Linked DNA regions of Cricetulus griseus. The protein of the gene in region 2 interacts with the protein of the main gene of each other region in a biochemical or structural test. Links are inferred from orthologs where the notes say so. Each region holds a gene or a part of one and is shown on either strand. Other genes may lie near its edges. The genes, in order: Mbd1 and Atf7ip.

Region 1 (3,824 bases), on a different chromosome or scaffold from region 2:
GGGAGGGCACCGGTGACATCCTTGAGGGTGGCCACGGAAACGATGAGCAAAGTGCTGGCAGAGAAAGGCAGATAGGCAGAACCAAGGAGGTGAGCATGGGACAGAAAAGAAAATATGACATGAGGCAGGCAAAGCCAGATTAGGCGGAAGCAACAGCAGCCATGGTGGTAAATTTAATAGCAGAATGAGCACTGGCCCAGCCTTTGCTCCACCAGCACTGGTCTCTCAGCCTGACTCACCCAAAAGCAGCGCCGCTGCATACACCTCCACTGGCGCTTGACACCAGGGCGGGAAGGGCGAAGGCAGACTCGGCAGCGGCCACAGTCTTCTTGGGTCTGACAGCCCCGACACACTCCACACCCTCGACTCTGTGGGGGCCGGAGTTGTGATGTATGGGGTCAGGGCCTTGAAGGCCAGGGACTGAGGAGAGCCTTGGCACACCTCATCTGACTGACTCACCTTCTCCACAATCCGCAGGCAGCGTCTCTGCTCACACTTGCAGAAGAGTCCTGAGGCTACATCATGGGGCAGCTGCAGGCGGCAGATAGAGCAAGTCCCACAGTCTTCTTTTACCAGGCAAGCTGTACACTCTCCACAGCCAACTCTCTGTCAGAAATGTATGGGGTAAGATTAGAAGCCTAGACAGGGGACTCAAGGACCACTATCCTTCCAAATGTTAGCCATGCTTATTAGTCTCCCGTTAACCTCTTTACTCTAGCTAATAAACTACTGATTAGCTTACCAACACCAAGGCCACTACTGTTCCTTCTACTAGTGCTCTGTTAAATTCATCCCTGTGTCTACTAGTACCCCATTAATTACCATTATTGCATCTACAAACTAACCAACAGCAGGTCTCAATTTAAAAAACAACAACAAAAACAAAAAAACAAAAAAGACCTGTCATGACTCCTAAACCCTCCATCAGTCCTATGACATCCTGTTCTCTTATAGACTATGGGAAATATACTGTTCTTACCCTAAACATTCTCTGTTCTCGGTTGAAGGCAATTCTCTGTGCTGGTGGAAGAAGGAAGAATGGTGAGAAATGGAAAAGAAGCAACAGACACAGACATATGGCTTCAGCTACTATCTTAACCCTGACTCTCACTGTTCTACATATGCCAATAGAGTAGGGTCACAGGCTGATTCCATATATGCCCAAAGCCGCTATCCTATCCTGACATGTACTGTATAACCTCCAGCTTAGCCTGGCACTGGATCTAATATGTGGTTTGTCTCCTAATTCCTAGGGACTTACCTCGGCAGTCTTTGCACAATGTCTTAAGCCTCTGCCTTTTGACACCATCCCATGAGAAGTGGTTTCCACAATTCTCACAGCACCTAAAATTAAAAGAGCAGAGCTATGTACTCCCAATCCCAAGCCTCACCCACCTGGCTAACCTTAAGCCAACACTCACCCAGGTGCAGATAATGAAGCTGGAGCTGTGCCAGTGCCAGCCTTATTCTCATCCTGTGGAGTCTCCTTCTTGACCTCACTCTTCTGAGGCCCAACCTGACGTTTCTTGACCTTGGATGGTTTAGAAGGCTTCTTTTTCTGCTTGCTAGGGACAGTCACGGGATGATGGGTCTAGAGATGAAGACAGGAAGAGTGTGGGTTAGTACATGGGTATCACGTGACACAGGTGCCCTGGCACGGACACTGACATTGTGAAGTACCTTGGGAGCTGGATAGCACAAGATGCCTTGTCTGAAGTCAAAGAGGGTAAGATCACATGCGGGGCCTAGGTATCGAGTCAGCTCAACTTTGCTTCGAATCTTGTCTCCTGTGGGGCTGAAAATGAACCACAATGAGTTGGCACCAAGAGGGAGCTAATGTCATGCCACCCACACAACATCCCCACAGATTTGGTGAGATGCAAGAAGCAGTCTGGATTCAGCCTGTGAGCCCCACCCAAGTCCTACCTCAATACAAGTAACAGGAATACAAAATATGAATATAAATACCATCATGCACACAAATGTTAATAAATAATAGAGCTGTGAACCTCATTTTGATCCATGCCATCACATATTCTATAGTAAATCCATAAAATTATAATACAGGGGAAAATTCTATTATCTGGCAATACTATACACACAACATTATACAGGCATCTGTAGTGATGTTAGTGTAAACAAACCTAGTGTAATACCACAGTACATACTTGATTAATAATAACTACAATTACTGGTTTATGAACTTAGTGTGATTTTTATCATTTTAGAGTCCTACATATGAAAAAAATTAATGTACTGTGAAACTGCAATGTTAGACTAGTAGTACCCTGATATAATTAAATGATTATTGCTTCTCTTGACTTCCTAATTCTCTCTAGTGTTTGATTTAATCTCGGGATTTTTATTCAGCAAAGGAGCATATTCCATAGCATATACAGTTATGTGGTATCCAACAATGCTCTCATCAATAATCAACTATATATACATGACAGTCCCTAAGATTATACTTTCTAATGACACCACACGTCCTAGCTTTATAATCTATGATTTTAACATGAAAAAATCATTTATAACATGTTCTCAGAATGTATCAGTACCAATAAGCAATGTATGACTATATGAATATTTAGCTTAGGTGTATAGTGTAGTGTACTATATCACTGAGTTTGTGTATTCCTCAGATTGTATTACTATTGGTAACTGTGCATAGACACATAAGCAGGCAGGGCACTGTACACATGCCTTTAATCCCAGCACTTGGGAGGCAAAGGCAGGTGGGCGGATCTCTGAGTTTAAGGCCAGCCTGGTCTATACAATCAGTTCCAGTATACCCAGGGCTCAGTAGAGAGAGACCCTGCTCCAAAATAAATAATAATGAAGACACATAAACATACTTACAACATGTAACACCATTAGTGTTGAAAATATGAGTAAAAATCAACACAAAATAGTAAGTAAGTAAGATATAAATATGTATTTTGGTTTGTTTTGCTTTGAGATGGGGATATCATTTTAACCCAAAGGGCTTTGAAACTCATATGTAAAGAAAGATGAACTTCTGATCCTCCTGCTTCTACCACCCCAGTGCCAGTTTTTCAGAAGTGTATATAGTACTAGAAATCAAACTCAAGGCTCCAAGAACACTAGACAAGTACCCAGTACTCAAATGTTATGTATTACATACCAAATGCATGATCATAAAAGCTTATAACAGAACTATTTTTTAAAACATGAAAATGAAATTATATTCAATACAAAGTATAAGTAGCTAATGTTGAGGGATGACATTCTAGGTCTTTTCACTTCTGCAAGAATCATCAGAGGCATTCATTATCTCCTGAAACAAACTACCTTCTCATTGTTTGTAAAAACAGGTAACTTTTGAAAAGGTCCCCTCCCTTCCAGGGGAAAGGACAGCAATGCTTATCATACTGATACTTGATTTTCTAAACTCAAATACACAGGCTGCCTTTCCTATATACAGTGCAGCATATATGCTACTTAGCCCTCTTCATGTCATCCTATGGGGATTGGGATTCTAAGAAATGCCAAAAACAGGTATTTTAGGCTCTGATACTACTGTGAGAAATTTTTTTTATATCTGGCCCAGGAAGTATCACATTTCCTATCAGCATCCACAAAACTAACAAACCCATTTACTAGTCTGATAAATATGTATCTTTTGACAATTACTTGTAAGTTTTGAAATTTTTATACAATTTCATATGTGGAAAAAGTTAAAAACATAAAAGTTGAAAATATCTGAAATTTTATGATATTCTAGGGAAATGACAACTTAGATAAACAGGAAGGGTGTAGAAATGTTAGTAGCTGTTTCACGAATACAGAACACATGCTTATGT
Region 2 (3,924 bases):
ATTCAGTTTCCAAGCCAGGCAGTGGTGGTGCATGCCTTCAGTCCCAGCACTTGGGAGGCTCTGTAAGTGCAAGGCTAGCCTGGTCTACAAAGCAAGTTCCAGGAAAGTCAGGACTACACACAGAGGGCCACAGCTACAGACAGAGAAACCCTGTCTCAAAAAGCCAAAAATTAATAATAATAATAGTAGTAGTACTAGTAATAAATAAGTAATTCATCACAGAAATTTTAAAGCTGCAACCAACACAAAATTATCCAAGATCTAGTCTATGCTTATAGAAATGGAAAACAGCAATGTAAAGTTAGCAATGATAGCCTAAGTAACCAGAGTTTAGATTTCCCCATGCATAACTGGTAAGTATGAGTGTAAACTCTACACTCAGCAACAAAAGGCAAAAAACGTGAATGCCAACATAAACTGTTCACTAATGTCAACCTAATCCATTTTCCTCCACATTAAAGACCAAGTGGCTATCTTCAGATCTACATATTTAAATCCCATAATCCCCTTCCATTCTTCCACCAAGACACTGAACTACTCAGACATGAAAAGGAGTGACTGAGGCTGGAGTAGTTCCCTCTCCTGTCATGCTACTGAGCAGAAAGGAAAGCAGACTTGCTCACACGTTCACACAAAGCAAGTTTTCCTGTTTCTGTTTTTGAGGCAAATGAACATTTCCAGGTGATTATATGAATTATCATTCAAATTATGATGAGTCATCATTTTACTTGTGATTAAATTACAAAAAATTTATATTAAACTTGTATGTATATATCTATGTATATAGATACACACACTTTATATATATATATAAAACCAAGAGCAAGTATAAATTTATGTTTATGACAAGGTAGCAATTTTCAACTATTAAGTAGCAGATCTAATATTTTAGTCTACATCTTTAAGAAAACAAAAAAAGAAAGAAAAAAGTAGATGCATTCAAGGATAAATTTCAAACAGAATTCCATAGTGCATTAGAGGCTAAGTGAACTAGATCTGCACAATAATATAAACTTCTAAACGTCATATGTGCTCTCATTTCGAAGTTTTGTTATAATACCTCATTTATTAAATACAATTATAACAAGTAAATTTTATAAATCCATACTATAAAATAAGTACAAAATAAAATTTCATGTGTAAGCTTTTAATATGTTGGATATGTTGGGGCCTTCCCTAAGAATTTAAGAATTTGCAAAAATCTAATTATTTGCTGTTTTAAAAGTTGCTTTTAGAACCAGACTTGGTAGTACTTGCCTATAATTCTGGGAGGCTGAAGCAAGAGGATTGCAAAGTCAAGGCCAGATCTGTTTTTAAAAAAGTAAAAACAGAGAAGGAGGGGTAAAAAGAGTAAAACCTTACAAAAATGGAAAATAAAAGCTCTATACAGAATGTTCAGAACTGTTCTCTATTGTATTAGTCAAGAATATGTTTAAAATATTCTATTGACACAATTACAGGAGTATAATGTACCATTCAGAAAACAATTCAGTAATTACTATAACTGAAGCACCGCTTAAAATGTAACTGTTCTCCCCAAATTATGTGATTAAATTCCATTCCCTCTTTTGGGAATCCATGGCAGCATGTATGCATGTGATCCCAGTCCTGGAGAGACAGAGGCTGGAGGTAAGGGGCCCAAGGCAACCTAGGCTACTCAGCAAACTAGAGCCAACACTGGACCACACTGAGATCATGTCTAAAGAAAGAAAAAGGAAGGAAGAAAAATTTATTCTCCCAACTTGCTAGGTAACCATGAAACTGTATACTCTACTAGTTCAGCAAATATTTCTGTTTTACAATGCTAAAAAACCTTTAAATTTATAATCCCTTTGAATGTTAAGTTTTAAATATACATAATAATGTCACTTAGTTAATTAAAACAGTATTTATTCCAGCTCTCTAGTTATCAGTCTACATTAGATTTTAAAAATAAAAAGGTCTGAGGTCTATATGTAAAATTATTCTAAAATTTAAAATCTGGATTCAAATGTCAATTCAAACAAAAAATAAAGAAAAAGTGAGATATTATAAATATATATTAATTATAAAATAAAAAGCAGTACATGAGAAAGCACTGAAGCATATAATAAAAAATAAAAAAGACACTATTTTTCTGATTTATATAGCAAATTAGTACTTTTTACAAAGCTACCAAATAATAACTCATTTTAAAAAGCAGAAACTCCTCTTTCCAAAGAAGGCTAATTTATAATTTCTTTTAAAAAATGCTCAATTAATACATTGTTTGAATTTCTACAAATATCTAATGAATTAACTATCCAATACACAAGGAGTAATAAGTCACTCGAGTTTGAAAAGCACTACTGTGGTGATCAAATGTTCTGGCAATGACAACAAAATGGTGAGAAATCACAGGAATTTAACCTTTGACCTCACCATCCTAATATACTGTTTCTCTAATATAGGTTTACTGCTCTTAGAAAACGTTGCAACTTCTTCACAGGCAAATTCTCTTTCCTATACAAAGCTGGTTATGTTCAAATGTTTTCTAATTGTAATGTTTAAAGATAAAAGCTTACTGGTTCTTACCTCAGATCCTGATGCATGTGACAAGTCTCTTCACTGGCAGATCTGCTGCCTAAGCAGCCTCAGAGATTGGGTTAGCAGCCATTTTGAGACAGCTGCACAGTCTCAGTTGCACAAAAGTGTAATTAAGATGGCTGCAACGTGCACTCAAGAACTCACACAGTGAAAACTCAGCCATGTATCAAAGAAAGCCCCGCCCACTTTGTCAGCCTGCAGGAAACTGAACACAGATAGCTAATGCATATACTGCAACAAACAATGCAGCTACTTAGCACACAGAAAAAGAAAACGGAAGGCAACAAGCCAGTTTTACAACAAAATGCCTGTGAATCCGGACTTGCAACAGACTTTGGGCACATTCCGATCCCAAACAACTTGAAATCCATGCCACATTTTAGCAGTTACAGAGATAGAGCCAGATCACACAGAGCAAACACTAGGGAATTCGCCTGAAAGAAAGCCTCCATTTCAGTCCAGAAAAAAAGGGGAGGAAAAAAGTCAAACCCCTCAAACCCAGCTCAAGACCCTTTTTTTTTTTTTTTACTTTTTCTTCTTTACCTTTAATAGAATACATCCATCAAAAGAAGAGTGTCAAATTTGTTTAAATCTTATATTCATTAGATCAAGTTAATTTTAATCTTAAAAAGCTAATTAAAAATTTCCCCACAGAATCTAATCTTCAGAAGTGCTCAATCCAAGTTTACAACCACATTTTCTAATTTTAACAATAAAGTCTAAGGTGGCAACAAAGCTTAATTTAGTAATTTCTCATAAAATCAAACATTTCTTCTCTTTGTGGTCCAGATGTGACAGACACACTCTCAGGTGGCACAGGAAAAAGTCAGGGAGGATGCAGACTCTCTGGGAAGGAAAAGTAGGGAGGACAAAAGGGTCCAGGCCAGTCTGGAAGAGGGACCGACACTTAGCCAAATCTGAGAACACTGCCAGCAAAACAGGCCTGGCACAGACACAGGCGGGCGGGCGCAGAACAGGCGAAAGGGAGGCAACACAAAGGACCTCTTCTGCTTCCTTTGCCATCAGCTATGGAGCCCAGTTTCTTCCATCTTCTTTGGTATTCAGTCCTCAAGTTTAATTACCCTGTGTCATGTCTATCGAAATGTTGGCATTTCTTACAACTTTTTAAAAGAGGTGGCAAAAACCAACTAAAAGACGATCATTGTCTCATTTTATGTACATATTTGAAACATTCCATAAAATGTGTCTAATACTTGGCCTTGAAAGAGGCCTTTATTCACTTTTCCATGAGATGGACTGGATAATATCTTTGAAAACTGCCATATGTGCAGGAAACAAGACACATGACACGTGATCCAAGCCGTATCGGATCACAGTCTGGGGACCAGGCTTGGGCCT

What was found.
Region 1: the proteins of Atf7ip (region 2) and Mbd1 form a complex in vitro, tested with the Homo sapiens proteins (2 studies listed by BioGRID). The link is inferred for Cricetulus griseus from reciprocal best matches to the Homo sapiens genes ATF7IP and MBD1.

What each region holds. Positions count from the first base shown.
Region 1 is NC_048595.1:165,544,918-165,548,741, forward strand, and holds part of Mbd1 (methyl-CpG-binding domain protein 1), read right to left. Parts: intron 1,796-3,824; coding exon 1,681-1,795; intron 1,592-1,680; coding exon 1,422-1,591; intron 1,345-1,421; coding exon 1,262-1,344; intron 1,021-1,261; coding exon 980-1,020; intron 607-979; coding exon 460-606; intron 369-459; coding exon 240-368; intron 1-239. UniProt on the Homo sapiens protein: Transcriptional repressor that binds CpG islands in promoters where the DNA is methylated at position 5 of cytosine within CpG dinucleotides. Binding is abolished by the presence of 7-mG that is produced by DNA damage by methylmethanesulfonate (MMS).
Region 2 is NC_048601.1:12,458,715-12,462,638, forward strand, and holds the start of Atf7ip (activating transcription factor 7-interacting protein 1), read right to left. Parts: upstream 2,859-3,924; 5' UTR 2,571-2,858; coding exon 2,554-2,570; intron 1-2,553. UniProt on the Homo sapiens protein: Recruiter that couples transcriptional factors to general transcription apparatus and thereby modulates transcription regulation and chromatin formation. Can both act as an activator or a repressor depending on the context.